4 linked regions of the Drosophila melanogaster genome follow. The protein of the gene in region 4 interacts with the protein of the main gene of each other region in a pairwise test. Each region holds a gene or a part of one and is shown on either strand. Other genes may lie near its edges.

Evidence for each region.
Region 1: the proteins of CG17186 (region 4) and CG8204 interact in a two-hybrid assay, tested with the Drosophila melanogaster proteins (one large-scale study listed by BioGRID).
Region 2: the proteins of CG17186 (region 4) and toe interact in a two-hybrid assay, tested with the Drosophila melanogaster proteins (one large-scale study listed by BioGRID).
Region 3: the proteins of CG17186 (region 4) and CG14535 interact in a two-hybrid assay, tested with the Drosophila melanogaster proteins (one large-scale study listed by BioGRID).

What each region holds. Positions count from the first base shown.
Region 1 is NT_033778.4:15,571,467-15,576,582, reverse strand, and holds CG8204 (uncharacterized protein), read left to right. Parts: upstream 1-2,591; 5' UTR 2,592-2,849; coding exon 2,850-2,917; intron 2,918-2,972; coding exon 2,973-3,133; intron 3,134-3,191; coding exon 3,192-3,394; 3' UTR 3,395-3,439; downstream 3,440-5,116. Other genes in the region: CG30466 (uncharacterized protein), read right to left, coding at 3,657-3,770, 3,826-4,905.
Region 2 is NT_037436.4:12,428,661-12,435,546, reverse strand, and holds the start of toe (twin of eyg), read left to right. Parts: upstream 1-2,878; 5' UTR 2,879-3,233; coding exon 3,234-3,471; intron 3,472-6,886.
Region 3 is NT_033779.5:7,851,716-7,858,350, forward strand, and holds the start of CG14535 (uncharacterized protein), read right to left. Parts: upstream 3,761-6,635; 5' UTR 3,309-3,760; intron 1,652-3,308; 5' UTR 1,587-1,651; coding exon 1,242-1,586; intron 26-1,241; coding exon 1-25.
Region 4 is NT_033777.3:19,873,999-19,880,017, forward strand, and holds CG17186 (uncharacterized protein), read right to left. Parts: upstream 3,517-6,019; 5' UTR 3,420-3,516; coding exon 3,344-3,419; intron 3,285-3,343; coding exon 2,215-3,284; 3' UTR 1,976-2,214; downstream 1-1,975. Other genes in the region: Mrp5 (multidrug resistance protein 5), read right to left, coding at 203-288, 347-423; Arc42 (Activator-recruited cofactor subunit 42), read left to right, coding at 3,880-3,913, 4,001-4,210, 4,279-5,252; Ask1 (apoptotic signal-regulating kinase 1), read left to right, coding at 5,926-6,019.

The sequences.
Region 1 (5,116 bases), on a different chromosome or scaffold from region 4:
ATTTCCAAATTATTTAGTCGCTCTCGTTTCATATATATATTCATATTTTTGGCGCCTTTGCTTTTGCTCGTCGACGTCGAATGTGGCACGTGATTGCGTTATAAATTACAAGCCATTGGGATTCATATAGTCCTCGCAGCCCTTCCATTCCATCCCTCCGTGCATCGTGGTCTCCTGCTGATAGTTAATGTTCCCCGGCATCCGTTCGGCATTTCGAATTATTTTCGAATCCATTTGATGACCCACTAGTCCACTATCTCCAATACTCCGGTGAATTCCAATCGAATATGCTTGCAGATGTCGCGTTTGCATGCCTGCTATCACCCAATATGAATCCAACTACCTGGAAGGACTACAGGCGATCATCGCTATACGGAAAATAACCATTATTAAAGATTAAGAATCTATGGGACATACAATCTCCACTTGACATGTTGCATAATAGATATATTTATAGGGATTTAAACCTTTGCTGTGCAACACTTTGTGGTTAGTATGATAAAAAACTGCCTCCACAAGAACCAAACCTTTTTGAAAAAAGTACATTCGCGCTAAGGAAGTTCGACTGCCAAAGCCATATGTGTTGCATGTAATTTAATATTCATTATATGCACTATAAACGCTGTGCCACTACGATTGCATGATCTGTCAATCTGCCCAATTGCCAGGACTATCTGCCCCCTTATTTTTCCACCTTCCAGTGTTTTCCTCGTTTGGCTTTTCGGGCGATAAAAACGAAGCGAAAAGTGCCGCTATCTATTAATATCGCTTTTGGCTTTTTCGCTGGCGGCTAGCTGGTAACTGGTAGTTGGTAGTTGGTAGTTGGTATTTGGTAACTGGGAAAAGCTGGGAATGAAAAACGCTGAAAACTCCTAACGAACGACACCTGCCCTCGGAAAATGCCACTACTGCACCCCGCGAGAAACTTTCGCCCCATTTGGTGGCGTGTGTCTCGCTTTTCTTCTTGCTGTTTGCATTGGTCGCCCCTTTTCCTTTTGGCGATACACTGCTGCTGATGTTGCACGAATGTTGTAAATCAAAAGTAGGCGAGTCACACGAAGGGTCTTCCTGCCCCCCCGAAATCCCTGCCACCGCCGATAGCCGCTGCTTGCCAGCGCCTCTGCTGCTGCGCCTATTTGACTGGCAGGCCGAGCGGATAACGCTGGCAATTATCGCGCTTGTGCCTCACGAACAGCGGAAGCGGCAGAGGCGCCACATCATGTTACCCGGCCCGATTCCCCAGACCTTCCACATCCCCAAACTCTTTGTTAGCCTGCATCCTTTGCTTTCTTTTGTACCACTCGTTTTTCTTTGTGCAATCCAATTGGTAGCGCTCAGAAAACAAAGCAAAAACGATTGAAAATAACAACAACCAGTCCCGGCTACAAGTCCCCCAAAATATGGCAACAGAAACAAGAAGAAAAAAAACGATTCATATACGAGTATAGCCATGCACCTAGACCACCCCATCCGGTCAGTCAGTCAGTCATTGAAGTCATTTATTGCCACCAAAAGTTTTTCGCTGTTTGCCATACCCTCGCAGAGGTTATTACGGCTCAGACTAGGAGCAGGACACGAAGGATCTCAATGGGTGTAGTTATCGTATACAGGACTGTAAGAAGTTATAACCCAATGACATTACCTATAGGACTATCATTATTATCAAATCTTAATGACACACATCTATATGTGTATATTTCATAGCTGAATATGGCCATATAAATGAGATGTTTCTCTTGCAACTAAACCTACTTTTTAGGACTATATATTGTGCATACACATAACACGTTTTCATTAGAAAGAAAGCTTAATAACAAAGGGCATTCCATGCTTCGGTTAACCAATCGAGCCTCACTGTTGTACTTATTTTTACTTCTGGTTGTACTGTACTTGTCTTTGGAGCTGGAGCGGATCTGAACGACTCCTTCCCGGGAAGGACCGTTCCGTTTCAGTACGTTCCGTGTGCAGGATATGTTTACAATTTGCGGACACGCCGACCGTCATTTGATTGCTCCCCTCGCGCTTGTCGAATTCTCGGTTAATTCGCCAGGTGGCTTCAGACTGCGCATTGCCATCGGCGGCGGGGGGAAAGGATTGGGAGGCTTTGGGGCGGAAAAATGGGAGGGCAATGATAAGCGTTCCTCGTTTGTTTGCTCGGAAGCCTCACGGAAGATGACGTGCCCGGGATGGCCCATAAATGAGACTGGCCAAAGCAAACAGACCGGATACACAGGATACATTCAATCAAATAAGGCTATTCGTAACCGGAAAAGGGCAGGACGACTCTATGTCTTCCTCAATCTGACCAAACACTCCGCTAATCGTATGGTTAATAACTAAAATACCTGTGGATAATCTTTAAACGTTTTCAATATGTAAGTCAGTGAGATACAGATACAGTAGATTGAAGCTTTCTGACTATATAAAGTATTTACTTATTTATGATGAGCAAAATTGAATGTTGATGATGAACATTTTATTTGTTCCAGCAAATTGTTCAAATTCAAATTAAAAGTAATGGCGCCAAAGATAGAATTCATCTGTTGACGAAGGCTGGCAGCTACAGAACAATCTAACTAAGCTATGGGATTCGTTTCAACACACTCGTCGTAGAACTCCACTAGTTTTGTTTTCTCACTAAATTAACATGCAGCCCCGCGATCTTATGCGCATTTTAATATTATTCTGCTTGCGTTTTGCATTTAACTTTTTGATTGTTTACCTCCAAAAACATAACGCCGTTCCAGTGGAGCAGAAACGGCTTGGAACCCTCGATAGAGGCAAAAGCTGGAGGCTATAAAACTCGCACAGCTGAGTTTTATTTTGCACGCGACATTGAATTTGATGAGATGGAAAAATGCATTATTTGCGTAGATAACTTGAGAAAATACAAGTGCAGCAAATGCTCGGCACCCTAGTAAGTAGCTATTCGAACAGTTCACTACGGAGATAATAAATGTCGCAAAATGTAGCTGCTCTGTGGCTTGTTATAAGACACACAGGGATTCGCCCCAATGTGCGACAAGGGAGTCCGACTTGAAAAAGACTGAAGTTGGCTACCAGGAGGAACCTACGCTTCATGTGCCCTTCCCCACCGACGACACAGTTGCCGCGGAGAAGCTCCAGCAACTAGGTAGGTGTTTAAATTCGCAATTATACACATTTCTCATAGTATGATGGTTTCCGTACAGAAAACTGCCAGGAACTGCGTAATTTGCTCCACAATCCACACCTGCGTTCGCTGCTCCAGCAGATTGATGTGGCCATCAATGCCCAGTCGGCCATGATGGCCGCCATGCAGGAGCCACTCTTCGTGGAGTTCGCTAATGCCTGCCTTCAAGTCGTCGAACCGATGACGGATGCTGAGCGCACTGAATTTGAGTTGTACTCCTGAATTAAGTTGACACACAGTCTCAATAAAACTAAGCCTTTATTTTGTAACTAATAGTACTGTCAATCCTTGGCAGCTTCTAGAGGAGCTTGCATTGAAGAACTCCTGGAAACTTCTCATTGAAATCCGCCGGTAAGGTTGAATCTTTTCCATAACCAGGGAAAACGTACAACTAATTATTTGGCTCGGCCATTTAAAGTTATCTATCTCAGCTGGCATATCAAACTAGTCATCAGTCTACAGCTTCGTTCCTTGGCAATCAAACTCAATCAAAGTAAATTGAAACTGGATCCGAGTTAAAAGTGATTTTTGGATGCTTCATGTGCAACTTGAAAAGCCTATGTTCCCCTTGCACTTTCCAGGTCATGGGGATGGGATCCTGTAATGAAAAATATTAGAAACGAAAGCTAATATAAGTTGTGAAATACTTAGACCTCATTAGACATGAGATACGTGTTTAGTTCCACATAAATATTAAGTGCTGTGGTACGGTTTTCTCCCAGTTTCTTCGCATCGAATGTGAACTCCTTAAATCCGAAGGTGCAATGGTATATACCCAGGACCTCGTGTGTGTTTAGGTTTTGTATTAAGGTATGAAACTTAATTTCGTCCACACAAACCGAATTTTGTATATAAAATTCATTGACATTAATGTGAAGATGCTGATACGCATGCATACCAAAATTAGCCACCTTTAGGGTCTTAATAGCCACATTTAAACCGTAAGTTTCACAAAATATGGATGTATTTTGGCTTATCTCGATCATATTTATAGTGCTTCTCTTCGCAGCTATGAGAATCTCTCTCAGAAATCCGTATCTAACGTGACCACAAAGAAATAGCTTCTTCAAGTGAGTTAGACGTTCCAGTTTCGATAGGAACCACACCATCATTTCCTCCTGGAAGCACTGCAGCTGCTCTAGGTTTCTAATCCCTTTCCAGGGCAGTTCTGTGTTCGAAATCTGGTCAATATCGAAGATACCCAGCTTCAGGGATTTTATTTTTCTGGTTTTCAGGATCTGTATCAAGTTGGTGACATTGAATTTGCTGCAGTAGGAGACCGTGAGGTTCTCGAGAAACTCGAATTCATCAAAGTGTTTGCCAGTAAACTTTCCATGGGGGCTAAAAGTTGTCAGATTTGGAAAAGTTTTCAACATTCTTGGCACGTCCGCATCGTTTAAGTTAAACGAATGCGTGGAAAATCGAAAATCTTTAAGTTTTGGAAAACTACAGCTGGTAAGTGTTTCGAAGTTAGATCTATTATTCATTTTGAGCCGCAGAGTGCTGAGGATTTGTTGAGTACTTTCCAGGAAGAATAGCAAATCCTTGTCGCTCAGCTGCATTTCAATCAAGGATATATATGCACATTTGTTATAAGCACGCCACACATACGGCATTAATTTCTTAAACCGGAAATGAAAGTCTTTCAGTTTTAGTTGGGTCTTCAAGTCGAGATAACTTAGAATTATCATTAGAACATCATCGGGCAGACATAGTAAGCCAGGCTTGGTATTCTGCAAAGGGCAAAAGAAATTAGGAAACTTGTATACTTATATTTCTGCTATATTGTTGCATTGCGGTACCATAAGATCGGTGTTTATCATTGTCGGTCTATATTCGTATGTTTAGCTAATATCGAGTCCAAATAAAACAATAAAATTATAACAAAAGTTTTATCAACATTTTTAAAATGATATCTGTTAATTTTGAGTATTTTTGGTGACA
Region 2 (6,886 bases), on a different chromosome or scaffold from region 4:
TGGGTAACTTTGGGCTGGGATGTAGATACTAGATGGCTATCTGGCTGGAACTTGGCCACTTTGCTGCCGAAATAATGGCGGCCGGCAGGCGTTAGCCAAGGCGGCCATAATTAATGCGCCCATCCCCGAAAAAGTTGCACGAAACGCAATTAGAAGCAGGCACATAGTCGCACACAGTCGAACGCCCTTAAACCGAATTTCCATTTATTATATAAACTATAAATTTAATATAAAACATGATTTTTCAACTAATTTTGAAGGTTTTTTTGAGACAATGCTTTTCTTTTATTTGTTCGTGGTCGAGATTCTTACTACCAAAAACTAGAGATATTATATTAAAGATAGGCTAAATAGATATGATTGAATGAATTACTTTTTTCTTCAAAACAAAATTTAAATGGTTTTACTGTTGTTGAATGAAAATCCTATCTTAACATTAGTATTTATGTTAAACAAGGTAAATGCACTAAATTTATTATACATTTATTAAAAAGTTATTGGGATACTTACTAACTTTTATAATTTGTGCATTAAATTTACAAATATTATCTGATTTAAATTAATAAATTAACAAGGTTGTATTCAAAGAAGTTGGCCTGTAGCAGAAGGCATAATTTGTGTTGTCTTGGAGGGTTAATTTGCGCCCCCTCGGGCGGTTTGTTAGATACAGTGATAAATGTTTAATTAGCCGCGTTATTAATCTAATCAATCATGCAGGCCGAAATCAATCAGAAGGGGGAAGTGGAGGGGCTGGGCAGCGCGAGTTAATTCCGCTGCTTAACATCCGATCAACACTAGGCCCCCTTTCAGCCCCCCCTTCTGACAATCACTGGCACTTTGCCTTTCTTTGAGTTTTCTTAGTGTTCTCCCATTGGGCATAACTAGGTATTCCAGTTACCAAGGGAGCAAGAAAGACAACTCTATAGCTAGTGCGCAGCTGCGCGTCTGCTCTTCAGACACGCCTCTCACTCGCTCTCACTCAGTTGGCCAGCTAACTTGAGTTTGTCTCAAATTATGTAAGGTGAAGGTGAGTCGAGCTCAACGCGATCTCCCTCTCTTTTAATCTGTTTTTTTTCTTTCTTGTCATATATACATATATATGTATATTTTTTAGTGGAAGCAACTTTTGCCTGGTCTTCTATCAACATAAATAAATTAGTACGCCTGCGTTGGCAAAAGTTATGTGCGCTGCGTGCATGGCTGTGCATTTTGAATGGCAAAACTTGTGCCTCTCTATCTCCGTAGAATCATTGTTATTTTGCGCTGCGAAATTATAGGCCATTAAAATTGATTATTTTCCATTATCAGTGTGGGAGGTTGTCCGTTCGCCGCCTCTCTGTCACACCCACTGGAAAAGAAAGGGGGGATAGAGAAGTGCCGCTGCAGTGGGGAGTTGCAATAACAACACCTCTGGCTGTGCAAAAATCATTTCACGTTAAAGGGCCCAAATACACATGCATGCATATGTACATACACAGACTTAAAAGTTGGCGGCCATTATTACACGGCTCCTGATTTCTGTAACTCAGCCAACCAGCGAACAAGTGGGAGTGAGAGGGGAACAGTGGGCGAAATAAATCAATTAGCCGACCCATCTTCACCTCGTGCCGCTCCTGTCACTCCACTGCAATCGCAATGCATATTGCGCTTTCCTTCTCGCTCTGTCTCCTTTGCTGCGCAGCCTTATCTCGCTCTCTTTTTCTCCACCTAGTTAATCGGTTACGTCGCTGCTTACCACCTCCTTGCCACCCAAACTGCACACCCCACTTGGCTAGTAACCACCGCGGTGGTTGGCCAAAATGAGTGGAGTCGCGTCCAACGTGGATTCATTGGTTTCTCGTCCGGCCAAGTCACTAATGTCCGCCAATGTCCCGTGTAATGCGCTTTTTGCTCATCCTCGATTTTGGGGAAGAAACAGAAGAAGAAGGGGTTCAGTGTACGGGAGCCAAGGATATGGGAATCACGCAAAAAAATTTAACATTTCATATTAAATTTAAACGATTTAAAATTATCGGATTTTGGGATAAAGAGAAAACTGTTTTTTGTTATGTATAGTTTGCACACATCACATATAAACGTATTTAAATGCAAACATGATATATTAAATAGTTTACCGCCTACAGCCCTTTGAATGTTTATCTCATGAATTAATCAATACAATAGTCAGAAAACAAATATATATAAAAATTGTAATAACATTAATGGCACATTATTATAGAACTTAATATTACATCTTTATATAGACACAATTTTCCAATTGTATTAAAGGATTAGGCAGCATATCATATAATATCATATCTTATTGTGTTTTATTTACTTTCCCTAAAATCACTCAAGCTGAGTGTTTCTTTCAGTGCTTCCTTTGGTGATCGATGATTGACAGCCGATTCGTGGTGTCGGCATTTCCATATAACAACTTTTCCAACTGGCCAACACCACGTATGTATTACCAAACAAAAACGCCGCTCAATTAAAAGGCCGAAAGCAACTGGTAGCGCAGTTCGGGCCAGAAAGTTTTTGATAAACAATGCACTGAAATCGAATGCCCGAGTAATTAATTATTGAACTTTTACAACTGCTACGCTTTTCTCGGCATATTTTTTTCCACCTCCGATTTTGCCTCTCATTTCCTCAGCAAACTGCTCAATGGGGCGACGCTCAAAGCGAGCACACACACACTAACGCACCCCCCCACACACACACACACACTCAGAGGCGGAAAAAAAAAACACGGCTGAATGCTCAGTGGCAAACCGACCACAAGCACAGGCAAACCAGAATGCAGCAACACAACAGCTATAGCAACCCGATCCAGGTTTTGGCCAAGTAAGATATTGCGCTGCCGGTGGCTCCGAGTTCAGTCTCATTCAGCGAGTCGGCGGGCGTTGAGTTTGAGTGCGAAGTGCGGTGCGCGTCGAGTCAGCGAGCGTTGAGCAGCAGCAGCAGCAGCAGCAGCAACAACACGACGCAACAGCAACATCAGCCGCAACAGAAGCAGCAACAGAAGCAGCAACGTGCAACTTGCAACAGCAACACAAGCGAGCGGTTTCGGTGCGCGTTTTCGAGTGGCGTGCCAAAAAAAAAACAAAAATTTCACAAATAATCCCTTTCAAAAAAACCGTCGGTGAAACACAGAAAGCCCACAAAATGCCGCCTGTTGTTCACTGAGAAAAAAAAAATAGCCAAACACATCAATTGCATTGCTGGCGCTTGAAGATTTTTGGAAGCGTGGCATGGCAACCAGCACCTCACCCGGACCCACAAGGACAACTGCAGCCATTAGAGTCTCCCTGCCAGGAGCAGCACCCGCAATTCCCGCTACCGCCACCGCCGGCTCTCAATCCCCCGGCGCCATCATGCCCATGGCCGCCGTGCCGTTGCCGTCGCATCTCCAACTGCTGGGCAGTTCCGCGGGAGGCGTCGGTCAGCCGGCGGCAATCACGCCCGTTTCGCCCACGGCTGCTACCACAGGTGAGTGCTAAAATAAATAATATTTTACAAGCCTTGTTTGGCACATTTTAATTTATTGTTGATGCGAGTTCGATTGGAACAAAACGCTCCTTTCTAATTTAACAAAAAAACTTTTTAATGACTTTATCGACTTTAATTTGAATTTTAACAGGCTTAAGTTTCAGTAAAAGTATCATATATGAGTTTCTAAAGAAAATGTGCTCATCCAGAAAAGGAGTAGTTAGTTTTATTTAAAAAAAATTTAGTAATATTTTTTGAATGGGAAAACGTATGAAAAATCATAACTGACAGTTTTCAGTTTTCAAAACCAAATACAATTCAGAATTCATCTGAGAAACTTTCTATGCATTCTTTCGTTTACTAATTACATTATATTATATTTATATAATAATATATTGTATTATATTTCTAACAAGTATAAGGATTATAAGGATAATAAGGATTTAAAATATAAACTTTTATTAAAGTCAGCAGCATATAAAATGTATTATCATCCAATTAAATTCTTACAATGCCCAATCCTAAAAATTTTATTTAAATTGTTTTTTTTTTTAATTTGTTCACGTACAGCAAATTATTTTTGTAATTTTTAAATACAGGTTTGTCTTATTATTTTTAGCACCAAAGCTTTAAAAGTAACTTAAATAGCCTTTAAATTCATTGATTTTCCGATTGTTTGATTGTTTTTTTTTTTTATTTTGCACGAGAACTACAAATGTTTTATCTCCACTAACGTTTAAGTTAAGTTCGTTGGTTTCTTAGTTGATTTTACTACTAATGTTGCCCCTTGTGGCACTGCTATTGCTGCACGCTCCATGTGAGCCGCAAGATTCGGGCGAATTCCGTGAACTGACATGGAATCGGGAATCGGGGGCTCGAAACAGTTTAAAACAAAAGCCAACCGGGCACAAGAAACTGGTGGCACTAGTCAAATGCATGCTGGAGCAGTGCAATGATTTGGAAATTTCACAACAGCAACGCAGCAGCAGCAGCAGCAACACGCAGCAAGACACAACTGAGCTGTGGCAACTGTTTTGGTCTTTCGCACATCAGTGGCAATTTGTTTTGCACAAGTATGGGTTGTCAAATAAAATTAGTTCACGTCGGCGGCCATCGAATGTATCTGCAAGATACACACACACATAGTACGAGTATATTCCCCGGATGGAAAAAGCGGGACGCAGCGGACAGCAAAGCTTTGACTTGTCTCTGGAAGGTGTTGGAAGTTGCACAATAAATAAATAATTATAAAAAGAGCCCCGAGAGGTAGAGACTCACTGAAAAAGAGACACCAAAAAGAGGTGAGAAGGGGGGGGGGGAGAATCGAAGGGGGGTGGAAGGTACATGGCATACATTGAAGTTTAAGCATAGGGCAGAAACCATACTTAGGGCTCTCAGGTTACGTGGTGCGTGTATTCACATTATTCTTAGAAAGCCAAGCGTATAAAAGGTGTGCACAATGATTCCGAGGAGTGCCTCAGTTTCGCTGGGGCTCGGTATGGTTTGTATGTAGTTCGGTTTTTGGTATGGTTAGGTTTGGCCATTTCGTATGCACATGGTCCGAACTCCTTGCGTTACTCTCCACTTGCGTTACGTTGGCGAATATGTGTGTCAGCCCAGATGGTGATTCTTCCGGCTAAGGAATCGGGGTCACCATTTCAGGACATTTTGGGCATTGCTAACAATATGCAAAAAGAGTAATATTAGTACTTACTAAAGTGTGCTACCTTTAGAAATAGATATCATAACTTTATTTGGTATAGCTCACAATGTAAAGATCTCCAAACTAAACTCATATCAGTTCTCCTCAATGATTAATTCCCGTACAACATCATTACTTTTTTAATATTCCTATGAATTTTGAAATTTTAAGTGATACGGAACACACCCATATTTTTTCAATCCAATTTAATAGTCCCAAAAGATTTGTCCAAGGCTACGTTTTATCATCGTTGAGATAAACATACAAAATTAGATACACAATTAAAAAGCAATTATGCATCTGTGAAAAGATAAAGGTGTTTTATTTCAATTTGCATTTTTGCACCATACTGGTTAGCCACAATTAATAGCCATGGACCATAAGCCAGAGCCGTACAATGAAATCCAATAAAGGATGGCATAAAATTAGACTGACTTATGTAAGAGCACGTCGCCCCGCCGCAAAATTCTTGGAGCTTAGGAAAATGTGCGAAGATCGCAGTAATGCGCACTGGCAGTAAAAACCAGAAGCTTCGCTTTCCAGAGGACGAGTAATGCGCTGCGCGCGACAAACAAGATCAGCGAGCACTAACTGAAGGGGATTGGGATTGGGATTGGGATGGGTATGTGGTTAGAGGAGATCGGGATGGGGATGCGTCGAGGAGCCACATAAAAAGCGAGCAACTTTAATTTATATGCGCTGGCTGGCTGGATGGATGGTGATGGAGAGGGGTGGAGGGGGGCTGGGGACGAAGCGGCAAAAAGTTACCGGTAGCAATAAATCAAACTATCAATTGAATTCCGAGGCGATCATCACTTGTGGCGAGCTGCGATCCCCAGTTCGAGTTCGAGCTTTAGTCCAACTCCGATCGGCATCGCTTCTTGTTATAAGTCTCACGGTGACGTGCGAACGAATGCACTGAGAAAAATGCATACTGAGTCCAAAGAAAGAGTACGAGTTTGAGGGATCTATTATTAACACTCATTTAAAGGCAGGTATATGTACATATATTTAAATCAGCAATAGCTAGCATTTACATATGTATTGTATATAAACCAATACATAAATAATGTTTGGCCTTTAAATTATTATCTCTCGATTAATTTACTATAATAACAGATTTAATATAAATCAAGACCACATATGTTATTATATATTTATGTATATTTAAAACATATAATATCTTCTATTTCGAATTAAGCGCTCATCTGAATATAAGGCTATACTAGGAAAGCATCTCACTAACATATTAATCCATATAAGGATAAACACCCATTAAAAATGTCAGTGTACAGTATGTAGAAGAAGAGCGAGTGGCTTTGGTTTTGGGCCGTGGTTCCAGCGATTTTAAGCCGCTTTTGCAATTGACTGAGGCGCATCGCAGGGCAGTCGGAGCTGTCGCATTGCGTAGTAAATCATCGGTCGATCCATAGAATCTGGACTGTGACTGCAACACAGGCAACAGGATCCGGGACTGGGGCAATCCGGGGGCAAGCTCACCGCCTGTTGACATCCAAGTTGGCCGGCTGTTGCGGCGGCATAAATCAAGCATGGCCATAACCGCGGCCACAACAATTGGCGCAACATGCGAGTGCAACAAATTGCAGCCGGGCACTTTTAAATGGAGTAAGCTGGTCCAGGTCCAGCTCCCAGCTCCCAGTCCCATCTGCATGGGGTTTAATTAGCCCAGGAGCTGGCGAAGCTGGAGGAGAT
Region 3 (6,635 bases), on a different chromosome or scaffold from region 4:
TCAGCGCCGATGCACACACATCCGACTGGAATATACGATGCACAGAGAGAAAATGTTAAAAGGTTGGGCATTTTTTTAAGAACTTAACTAAATGGTAATATATAGGAGTTTATAATAATGATGGTTTCAATGGGTATCAATAAGTAAATATAAATGATATAAGATATTTTCCAATTTCCTTCCTTACAAGCACCAAGCATTTTTCTTAGTGTTTATCGAAAACGAATAGGTGTGGAGTGGAGGTCAGTGGGTGGTGGCTAACAAGGCATACTAATGGGCTCTCTTTAATGGCTGGAATTGGGTTCGATTGCGGGGTTAATTCGATTGCTGATTAGATCCGATGGGGCAGGACAATACGCGTATGTGTTAATTCTATTGGGGGTATTTCTTTCGTTCGGTCTGAGGGATTGCCTTATGAGTGATTGCACTTGGAGGGTCATAAATCTTGAAAAGGAACTTTGCTTGCTATGTATTATGAAGATTGATTGTGGTATTTTGTGGTGACTTGTTATTCTGTGGAATTACTAACACCTCTTTTGTAATCTCTTAACAAGTTAAATGGCATAGCTTCGAGACAAAAAATCCAGACATTTATCGTTTGCACCAAATTATTCATATAATGCACAGATGTGCCCTTCTCACAAAAGGATTCCCACGGTCAATTTAACTTTTATAATTGCAACTCAATATTTACGTTAGGGACATTTTTCTGCAGACAAATAACATCGCGAGAAGTCTGGAAAGTTTTGTTGATTTTGAGAAAAGCAAAGTACACTGGCAAAGTGTTAACTCTCAGTTGCCGGAAGTTTTGTAGTTTTTTGTACATAATGAATGGTTTTATTGTCAATATTGTATTACCCTTATTATTATTAGGTGGGCCTTTTGTTTGTTTATCAAGAATTAATAGCTGTTAATAAGGGTTATTTGCCACCTAAATTATACTGTGTGTCAACAGTAACCAATCAAGTATTTAGTTTACTTGGTAACGGTTGCTCTTGTTTGTTATTATTTAAACAAATTTGCTATTTACATTTAAATAAATTAGAATTAATACTTTTAACTACATATTTTTCAAACGATTTTTAGAATATTTCAACTTGATTTAATTGATGTTATACTTATGATGTTTTATACCTATTTCTTAAACTTATTCTGGATCTAAGGATGCTTTAAATAAATTGGTTCAACATCCATGTGTGAACGTGCACTCCATTCAGATTTTCGTTAAGGTTGAAACTCACCTGCTTATCCTCGCCAGTGAAGAGGTTATCGAATGCAAACATTTTGGGAGCGGCCACCATGGGCGCCCGTTCCTGGGCAGCCTGGGGCGGCGGACACGCGGTTCTCGGATCGGTGAGCGTGACCTGTCGCTTCTTCTTGTCCAGGGCCATAAAGTCCGGCTCGGTTCCGCCGGAGTTCCTGTCCCGGTCCGCCACCCGCAGCATGACCTTCACCTTGCCCACTCCGTAGCACTCCCGGCTACTCAGGCGTCGGATGAGGGTCGGCGGCATCGGCGGCGGTGCCCGCTGCAATGCACCACAGAAGCCACCGTTGCGGGACATGTTTGACGTACTGGTGGTGGCCATGGTTCCTTGACTATTGTTCGCCACAGTTGGCGGTGGAAGTTTATTGCTGGAAGCACTTGCGTTTCCTTTTGTGGGGAGGGGTAACGAATAAAATTGGGAGTTAATAAGAGGCCCAAATCCTGGCTTTTGTTTTATGTCTGGGGATCTTAAAATGCAATCGTCACTCCCCATAAACTTTGTTTGTTTTTTGGGGGTTTTATGGTTCTTTAAATAGTTGCTGGGCCTGTCATAAATTGCGATTTCGGTTCGGCCCGATGGGCATAAGTTATTTGGTCCTGCCGCCAAGAAGGGTCCTTGCCCTTCGGTAATGGCCATAACACTTTCGCTTTATGGTTATGGGCCATCTGTTTATTGGGCATATGCTTCACTGTACTATCATCACTATCACGCTCGCACTGTCACTGTCACTAAGCTCGTGTTTTATTCACTTGTAGCATCTTGTGCATAAAATCAAATTTATGTTGAATTTGCTTGGGCTTTTATGGTGGGAAATTATGCGCTTCGTTGTCTTTCTAGTGTTCTTTTGGGACTGTCGTATTTCACATCAGTTTAATTCTATTTGAAAAGTTTATGTACACGCTTTTAAGTTCCTTTCGGTCATTAAAAAAAGTTTTAAGCCCAGACTTTTAACAATTTTCAGTTCTTTGTTGGAGCTATAAAGTGTTTTAGAGGTTTTGCATTCTATTACCGAAAACATTAGGACTTTAGTTACAGTATTAATTAAAAAATTAATTAAAAACTTTTCTATGATTACTGTTAGAATTGATTATATATTTAAATGTGGTTTAATTTCTAATACCTTAAATTTAAATTTGTTATAGTCACACAATATTTCTGGTAAAGGTTCCGTTGCTTTTGCAAAGCTTTATTAACTTTTAAATTTTTATTTTTTTATTCTTGAGTTTAATTAAGTTATTATTTCATTTCTCTGAGGAACTGTCTGAACATCTTTAAAATGTTCCTTTGGGATGGGCTTTCTAAGGCGTGTCACTCAAACTTAGATATCGGAATGGCATGCTTTTGGGGCATGCTTCTTATCGTGCTTGTTATGTTTTATATCACTGAAATTATTAACTTTACTTGTTGTGCTGAACTTTACATATATTTGAGATATTCATGCAAATTCCACTGGATTTCTTCATTTTTACTTGTCAGTCGCGGGCCGTGACATTTCTTCAATGCCTTCATTATTATTATTTCAATTTGACTGGGGAAAACGTGACGTTTTTGCAACGTCTTTCATTAATATTGTCCCCCGATTCCCAGCCCCAATTTCCCCATTCCATACACGCTGGCCTCTTCTGTATTGCCATTCCATTGCCATCCCCTTTGAATGACAGGCAACAACTTCGGGTCGGTTCAACTTCATTTTTCAGGCTACGCGCACCTGCCAACTGGAGGGAACTTCTTCGGCAGCTTTTCCATTCTTTTATATGGGTTTGTCCCTTACTTTTTTTTTGCCTGCCCGGTTTCAGTTCGCTTTTTATTGGAGGACTGGCGTCGTCCACCTTTTGAGTTTTAGCTTTGGCTTTTCACACAAATCGATTGGCAATGCCTTCTAATTGTACACGACGCACAATAGGGGAGTCTAGCTGAAGTCAGGGGTTAAGGGTCCTGCGGGGTAGCGGGTAGGCGGGGGTTAAGGGATTTCCCTTTTGGCACAACACACACACACAAGCACACTGGCACGCAAACACACACGAAACAGGAACAAACACAAACCCTTTTTTTATGACTGGCAATTTCTCGCTGTTGATTTCATCTTTGGCTCAACTCCTTCGACTTTCCAAATTGCCTTGATTTCCTCGCACATGATTTATACTTTATATTCAACACACTGGGATTTTCCCCGATTCTCAGCGAGCTTTGTTGTTTTTCTTTTGTATTGGCTTGTCACTTTAGCGAATAATAAATAAAAAACCCGCCAGGCGCGAAAGCCAAACGCGTGCCGATTGCGTTGGCATTACAATGGCAACTGAAGTCGGGTTTTTGGTTTCGGTTTTGGTCTTCGGTCTGGGCCTGAATTTCCCAAGAGTTTTCCGCCTCTCTTTGGCGCAGGCGTGCCAGAAGAAAGAGCGAATCGCGTATGGTAACGCCACATTGCTGACCCCAAGGGTAGTCGGACTTTCACTCTTTCACTCTCTTTCGGAAAATCTCTTGCTTTCGGCCAACGACAGTGGCTTTGAGGCTCAGGTAAACAAAATCAGCGAGGCTAAAACAAAAGGAACAGCGTAAATGATGTTTATATTGTAGACGTCAAAATGCTCACTGGCCAGGAACATTAAAATAGAGTGATACCTCGTCTTTACTAGAAGATGTCCATGGTCACTCGATCTTTAAACGCTAGTAACCATTATTTCTTTACCTTAAAACAATAATGTAATGTATTATACAAAAAATATGTTTTACTTAAAAAAAAAAAAAATTTATAAAGTATGGTCTCATTGTTAAATATTTTTAAACACTATTACTAAACTATTAAAAGAATATATAGCTTAAGAAATAGATAACAAAATCTTTTTTATAAATACTTAAAAGTTGGTTATCCCCAAAAATTGAGTTAAAAGTGCAGGCGTTAGCATTCAAAGATTGAAATCCATAGCTTTTACCGCCTCTGGGATGCAACAGTACAAATACAATATACCTTTTTTCTGCGTGAGTACCTGGAATAAAAGGAATATGGACATGGTGATAGTTGAGCTGCTGGAGCGTCACTTAAGTGCCGCTTGGAGTTTCTGCTGATGGAGGGGGCTTTTTCAGGGGGCAGAGTGGGCGTGAGGTGATGATGGGGCTTTTCGTGGATGGGGATGGGTGAGTGGTGGGCAGAGGGGCCAAATGCAAACGATGTGTTTTTAAGTTCGCTTACATTTGGCAGGCTCGTGAAGGAGCTGTTGAGTGTGTGTTCGGGTTTAAAAGCATGTGTGCACCGGAATGGATGGGGCTTGCACGGATTTACCTCTACTTTTTTTCCATTTTTTTTCACCAAGTGGACAACGGTAACGGGTCAATTAAAGTGGACCCGGCTGATTGTTATTAAGGTGGCTGCGGGAAAAGGGCTGTAATCCAATCCGTTTTAAGGTGTTTCGCTACTAATTATCTTAATACTTAAGGGAAATTCCGTGAAAATCGTTTTTCCGCATCGAGCAAATCAAATTGTATGCAATCCAAGCGCCAAAGAAAATAAAACGCAAGCAAATAAACGAAACAAAGCTCAAGTTCGGTGAATGGAGATAAAAAGTTTGAGAAGCACTTGCGTACAGTTTGGAGGCTAGCTGCGGCGCCATCTGGCGGGCGAACATAACGTGGCAACGCCAACGGCGTTGTAGTTTGAATCTTGAGTTCATTAACATGCAATGAAAATAAGAAATCGTTAAACTATATTTAACATAAAAGTTCCTGCTTATCTGTACTACTGTTTAATATATTTTCATGATATGCTTTTATATATAATTTCAATCCAAGTATTGTCATAATTATCACTATAGCTTATATTATTTTTTATTTTTAGCGTAAGCTGAAAATACTTAGCATGATATTTATTTTTCCAGTAAAATATATATTATATCTATAAATTCTTATCAACAATATTGCGCTGCTGTTCATATTGCGCTGTTGTCATAATTATCACTATAGCTTATATTATTTTTTATTTTTAGCGTAAGCTGAAAATACTTAGCATGATATTTATTTTTCCAGTAAAATATATATTATATCTATAAATTCTTATCAACAATATTGCGCTGCTGTTCAGACTGCAGCATAGGAATTCACATTTAGTGCATTATAAACGTTCGTCTAAAGAGGTTCAATTTGCTAAGCATGTTCCAGCTGAAAGTTCTCCTATATTACGCAATTATCGCAATAGTTATAAATGCATCACCTTCAGGATGCGAGGAGACAGATCGTGTCGAAGCCTCGAAGCGCTGATGCCATTGATCGGTCACATTGCCCAGCACCAGGAACAGTGGAAAACCTGCAAGTTGCAAGAAATACAGGCCCAACAGAGGGATATTGAAAAAGAAATTGAAAGCCAGAAGACATCGCTAACGGAATCGTGGAAGAAGATCATTGCAGAGGATATCGAGAACAGAACCAATAGGTCAGAACTTAAGATGGAGGGTCAACTATCTGACCTACAGGAAGCATTGACTAGTATAACGACGTCGCTGAAGAATATGTCTGCGAAAATAAATATTTTACATAGGTTCAAGCGAATCGGATCGAGATATTTGCACATCGAAGACATAGTCCAACAAAATTGGACCAGTGCTTTGAGCGCATGTCAAAAGATGGGAGGTAATCTAGCCTCAATTATAAATGAAGCAGACTTTAATGCTATCGTTTCGCAACTAAGCAAAGACAACACTTATATGATTGGCATTAGTGATCTGGCTGAAAAGGGCGTTTTCATATCTGTGTCCTCCGGAAAGAGAGCACCTTTTTTGAAATGGAATCCTGGAGAGCCACTATACGAACATGTAGATCAGCGTTGCGTTTCTATACATAACGGTGGCATGTGGGTTGCTTCTTGTACTTCTGATTTCAAATACATTTGCGAGGCAAATGAAAATGTATAGTAAACAGATATATATAAATATATGTACACATATGTTAAGACTTGCAATGTGAAACATACAAAAAGAAATCCATCTTGTACAGATAATTCGTTAAACTTTTATTTAGCCATTGATGTTTTGTGTTTTTAACATTATATACTTGAGTATCATTTTAATCTTCATTTTTTTTTGTTGCATTTCGAGTGCTTCGCACATTCTATTTAATGACAAATCGTGTGCGAAATGTGCAATATGAAATTGGAATAAATTGCCTACTTGAAAATGCGTTTGTGATGAAAATCATGTACCACGTATATATCGTTAATCGGTATCAGGATCGATATCTCTATCGATAACTAAGGCTAGCTCGCAGTGAGTGTTTCGAGTGTTTTGTGTGAGTGTATAACGCATCGTTCGCTTAAAGACCTAGACTTAAGACTAAACAAACAATTTGAAACAAACAGCCTAGATGGAAAACATACTTCTCGTACAT
Region 4 (6,019 bases):
CCTTGACTTTATATCAGCTTATCTGACGCGTCGGCCGATTTCTTTATAATAATTCAATTAATTTGCTTATCGGCTGGTCCGCAGATATGTCCATAAATTATCTTGCCCCGAATTCGAGCCCATTTATTATGCAAGGCGTGTGGGCGATTCATTTTTGGTTCTTTCGCACCGAGAACTTCGGCCTTATTCTACCAGAACTCACCTGATCTGTGCTCCTGTAAGGCGCGGTACAAATCATTCTCATCCAGTGTCTTTTTGCGTCCCTTGAAGAAAGTGGGCATGGCAAAGCTGAGGATGAGATTATGAATTAGACAGGATTCTATGAGATTTTGGTGTACAAACTTACCAGAACATCAAAGATGAGAAGATGTTGGACTTCTCGCGCGGATTCTCCGGCAGTTCATCGGCTTTCATTGACTGCATCTTGGTCGGTTTGGTCTAATTCTATCGATTCCCTAGCTTCAGGTGCCAGGTCATTGGTCGGGGTGTACGTGTATCCTGTACAGGTGCCGCTGTAATGGGATTACAACTAAAACTATTATTAGTTCCTCCTAAACCAATCGGCTGCCACTTAATGTGCGGAATCTAAAGATTGTGGACGCATGATGATTGCGCTCTTTCGGTTCTTTTATTATTTCAGCACTTTTCACGAACGGTTTGTTTGGCCGCGATAAAAGCAAAGTGGTAAACTGGACCCATAAATGTTTGTTTTAAATCCAATGGTGGCGCATAAGTTTAAGTTCAATTCCTGGTTTCTGCCAGTTTTGGGATTCAAATATCAAATACAAATAAAAAACATCGATATTAAAAGTGATTATTTTGACGTATTTATCCCGTGCACATATTAAAAGCGATTGATTTTTGCTAAATTTTTTAAAACAAATAATAAAAACTTTAATAATGTTTTGCTGAATTCAATAGTTCGTTTTGAGCATTCCTTTTTTAAATATCCAAATTTGTCTAAATGCACTTTACTTAATTCAATGTTTATCCTTTTTATTGGAGTTTATATTTTGTTGTTCTGTAGCCGCCAATAATCTAAGACTTTTACTGGCTCAGATCACTTTTATGGCACTAGTTTTTTACAACTTCCTGTAAGTGATACTAGTCACTAGCTTTCCACACGCGTCACTTTTTAGAAATGGGAAAATCCTAGAGGCGAAGACTCACGGTACTTTTACACCTGACGGATCTGGCGGCAGCTTCTCGTTAAAACTTAATGGGCTCGCCGTGAATGAACGGCCCTTTATATAGGCGCCTGGATGAACACCCACGCACACCAGTGCACGCGGCATTATCGAGAGATCGCCAAAGAGAGAGAGAGAGAGTGAGCGAGCGTTATCACATCTCACCTCTTTTGTTTATATTTACACTGGGAGCACTTGCACTTTGTTTTTACCTGTCTTTCGTGGGCGCAGCGGGGGCGGTGGATGCCGAAAAGGAACAACGAAAAACTCCAAAAAGTGGGGGCAAATCAATAGGACAACAAACGGGACTCCTACTGTGGTGCTCTTTTCCTTCTCAGTGCTGATGAATGTGAACGTGTCCTTCCCCTCCCGCAGGACACACGGAAATAATTGTGCGCTGTGTTAAATGTCGTGTGCTGATTTTACAAAGTTGTGCAGTGAAAAACATAAAAACGTTAAACAAGTTCCAGTGCGTGCGCGTCGAATCTGCGCAGAGATGAAAAGCGGGCTGTCAAAACCAGAATGGAAAACTGCCAGATGTACAGTGGCGCGCAAAAGTATTCGCACTCGCACGCGATTGTGCCTGCCGTCATTGGTGACTATTGAAACTATTCTGTTTCAATACTCTCTCCATGGAAGCTTGAAATTATTATTATTATTATTATATTATAAAAATTGGTATAAGCCATTTTTAACGGTAAAAATTGGTAGTGTTGTGCAGCATCAAAACTTCGACAAAATTCCAAAGATACTCACTCACACATAACATTAATAATACTCAAAATTTTCAAATTTCAAAATCAATATTCTTTATTCGTAGTAACAACGAATAAACAATCTTTTCATAGCTTTTCAATTCTTTACATTTAAAATATTTCTTAATTCAAGAATTTTGGCTTATCAAGAGTCAAAAACTTTTATACAGTTCATTAATATCTAAAGTTTGGTTATTGCATTGATTGTAATTTAACAATTCGTTGGCTTTCGATGTAATTAAAAGTACCAAAGAGTCGAGAAATTAACAAATCTATGCATTGTCCAGCGCGATGAAGTAGGAAATATCCTCCGGACTGTCTTCGGTGGTCAGGTACACGATCTCCTCGTAAACGTTTTCTTCGGCAGTTGTATATTCTATCATTTCAAAGCCGGGATCTATTTGAACCACCTCGTCGATCTCCACTAGATTGATCTCTTCCAGTCCGTTTTGCTTATCTATATCCTGTATATCCTCCACAACATCTGGCTCTTCCATAACATCCATATCAAGCTCCTCCACAAAATTTCTCTCCTCTCTGTGATCAATCTCCTCCAGCTCATTTTCCGCTTCCAAGTATTCTACTGGCTCAAGAGCTTCAGTTTCCTCCAGACCATCAAGGTCAGCTTGAATCTTGGCCAGATGCCTTGCCGATCGCATGTGCCGAACGAAGCAGAATCTCCTGGCCGTTCTGTATTCGCAGGGCTTGCACTCCAGGGTGCACCTGCACTCCTTCTTGTAGGCGAGGTATTCGTCCTCGGTCTCCCCAGACTCCCCAGATAGCTCCACCATCTGTTCCTGCTCCTGGGGCAGATACTGTATGTATTCATTAGCCTCCAGCTGGCTTTGCACGACCTCGATGTTCGCCTGGCTTTTTGCTTGCATCTCGAATTGAGATTTTCGAGTGGTGCTGTAGTCACACGGCGTGCACGTGGTCAGGATGTCTTCCGTGTATCGTGTTTTCTCCGCATCCGCGGGCGCTGGCTCCTCTACTCTTTTTATGCGTTTTACCGCCGGTTCCGCCCTCTCGGCCTCGTCCATCAGCTTCTCGCACTCCTCCTGCTCCTTCATTATGTGGCGCCTCGACTCCTTGTGCCGGTCGAAGCAATACCGTTTGGCGGTCTTGTAGCCGCAGACGTTGCACGAGAACAGTGACGATTCCACCTCAGACTCGGAGTCAGAGCAGGACTCCAGCAGCATGTGCTTTTGCGACCGCCTGTGGCGCCTCAAGTCTCTTCTCCGGTCCGTGGAGTAAGTGCAGCCGTTTATGTTGCAAGTCAGTCGCTTTATCTTCACCGCCTTGACTTGCTCCTCCTTTCTGGGCGCTTGTTTTAGGTGCAAGTCTGTAAAAAGCGAAATCAATCGTAGTTCAGCCGGCATTTAGGTATTCATTGGTACTCACATTCCATTTCGTCCTCGTAGATGAAATCTAGAGCCTCTATCGTCAGTGTTTCCGTTCTCTGGCATGTCTGCGACATATTTCCCTCGTTTGGTCTGCGTTCTTTTAATAATAACTAAACAAATCAACAATTATTTGATGGTACCAACATTATTTAGCTTGAAAATGTAGAATGCACGCGAGAATTTACGAATTTGGGAATTTAGTATTTTTCAGGCGGCATGTTGGATCTTATTTCCGTGCACCTTAGGAATTATGTTTATTTCATTTTAAAAGTACCCATCAGTGTTTTCGTATGAGTGAAAAGTTAGTAATTTTTAATTTTAATTTTAAATTAGTAACAAGACGACTTGTTAAATTCGGGACAAGAGTCACCCTGTGATGAACCACTTGTTACATGCAGATGCAGCCGGTGACCTCCTCTGGTCACACTGTCCATTTTTAATTTTTTGTAATAGTAGAGTTTTTTTTATAACATTTTATCCGTCTTTTATGCAATATATTTAATTATTATTAGTAAGAGGCAATCCCACACAAACATGCAATCAGTACTCACCCGCTCGTTATGCATTGGTAAGACAAACTGATGTGTGGACTTTGAGCCCCAGCCATTTAAATGTTTTCTATAAGCAAGATCCTAAACCAGATATTGATATTCAGCCCGCAGATCTTTAAATGCTCGTCAAATTGCCTCATTGTCGGCGCTTTCGGAGACGCACCAGATGCTGCAGAAGTCCTGCCGGGACTTTGCCAACAATGAGCTCAGTGGAAACGCAGCCAAGTTCGATCGGGAGCACCTGTATCCAGAGAAACAGATCCGCCAGATGGGCGAACTGGGCGTGATGGCAGTAGCGATTCCCGAGGAGCTGGGTAATTAATATTACGCCCACCTCAGCCCTCCTTATAGTATCTCATTGTATCTCTTTATTGTTAATCAGGCGGCACTGGACTGGATTATGTGGCCTACGCCATTGCCATGGAGGAAATCTCAAGGGGCTGTGCCTCTGCTGGCGTCATCATGTCGGTGAACAACTCCCTGTATCTGGGACCGCTTCTCTCTTTCGGAAACGATGCCCAGAAGAAGGACTACATCACACCGTTTACCACCGGCGAACGAGTGGGCTGCTTCGCGCTCTCTGAACCTGGAAACGGATCCGATGCTGGAGCTGCTTCCACCATAGCAACCGACAAGGGAGATCACTTCGTGCTGAATGGCACCAAGGCCTGGATCACAAATGCCTTCGAGGCGGAGGCAGCCATTGTGTTCGCCACCACCAACAAGCAGCTGAAGCACAAGGGCATCTCCGCATTCATTGTGCCCAAGGCTACCAAGGGCTTCTCGCTGGGCAAAAAGGAGGATAAGCTGGGCATCCGGGGATCTTCGACGTGCCAGCTAATTTTCGAGGACTGCGTGGTGCCCAAGGAGAACATGCTGGGCGAGCCGGGTTTCGGTTTCAAGATTGCCATGCAGACGCTGGACGCCGGCCGCATAGGAATCGCTGGCCAGGCGCTGGGCATTGGTCAGGCTGCCCTCGAATTGGCCGTGGACTACGCCCAGAAGCGACAGGCCTTCGGCAAGCCCATTGCCAAGCTCCAGTCCATCCAGCAAAAGATCGCGGACATGTCGTTGGCCATGGAGTCGGCACGTCTGCTCACCTGGCGCGCCGCCTGGCTGAAGGACCAAAAGCAGCCCTACACCAAAGAAGCTGCAATGGCCAAGCTGGCTGCCTCGGAGGCGGCCACCTTGTGCTCCCACCAGTGTATCCAGATCCTGGGCGGAATGGGCTACGTGACCGACATGGCGGCCGAGCGTCATTACAGGGACGCCCGCATCACTGAGATCTACGAGGGCACCTCCGAAATCCAGCGACTGGTGATCGCGGGCTCCATTCTAAAGGAATATGCTAGTTAAGATCAAAGTTATATATCCGTACTACTTGTGTCTCGTTTAATAAAGAACGTTTTTAATATACTATTTTGCTAGTTCTATTGAGTTGTATAATTGTTTATAATAGATAGAAATACATGAAAAAAACACCTACAACATTTTAATTCTTTAGAAAAAGTTAGCAAAACAATAAATCTTCGTTCAAAAAGTAAAGTAAAATAAGTGAAACTCTTGACTACTTTTTAGACGTTGCATATTTGTAAATTAATTAAAATAATGAACCTTAAGTGCTTTTAAAATATATTTATAAACAAAGCTTATTATTTTATATGCCTAATTATATTATATCTTTTAAACCAAATTTTAAATGACTCAAAAAAATGGGAACTTGGCGCCAAAACTGCAGCAAGGCTTTGTCGGTTAGCATATTTGTGTGGTATTTTTGTGACTTCATTCGGTATATTGCTGGTAGCTGTGCAGCGGTCACACAGCAAAAGCAAAAAGTTTCTTTATTTATTTGATAATTATTCGTTACGCGGTAATTAACGCGATGCAAGTGCAGCAGGAACGTGGTAATGAGAGTTTTTGCCACTGAGCTGCGCGTGTCGGCCGTCCAGAAAGTGCAGAAATCGCGTGAAGTGCGCGAAATCCGTCCAAGAGCAGAAAAGTGCCAAGAATAGCTGCGATGGAAACAGCGATGGATGTGGTGTGTGTAATGGATACGGCGGTGGGCGACCATCTGGAGGACCGCCAGTGTGCGCTGGAGGAGATCAAGCAGGCAGTGCAGTCGG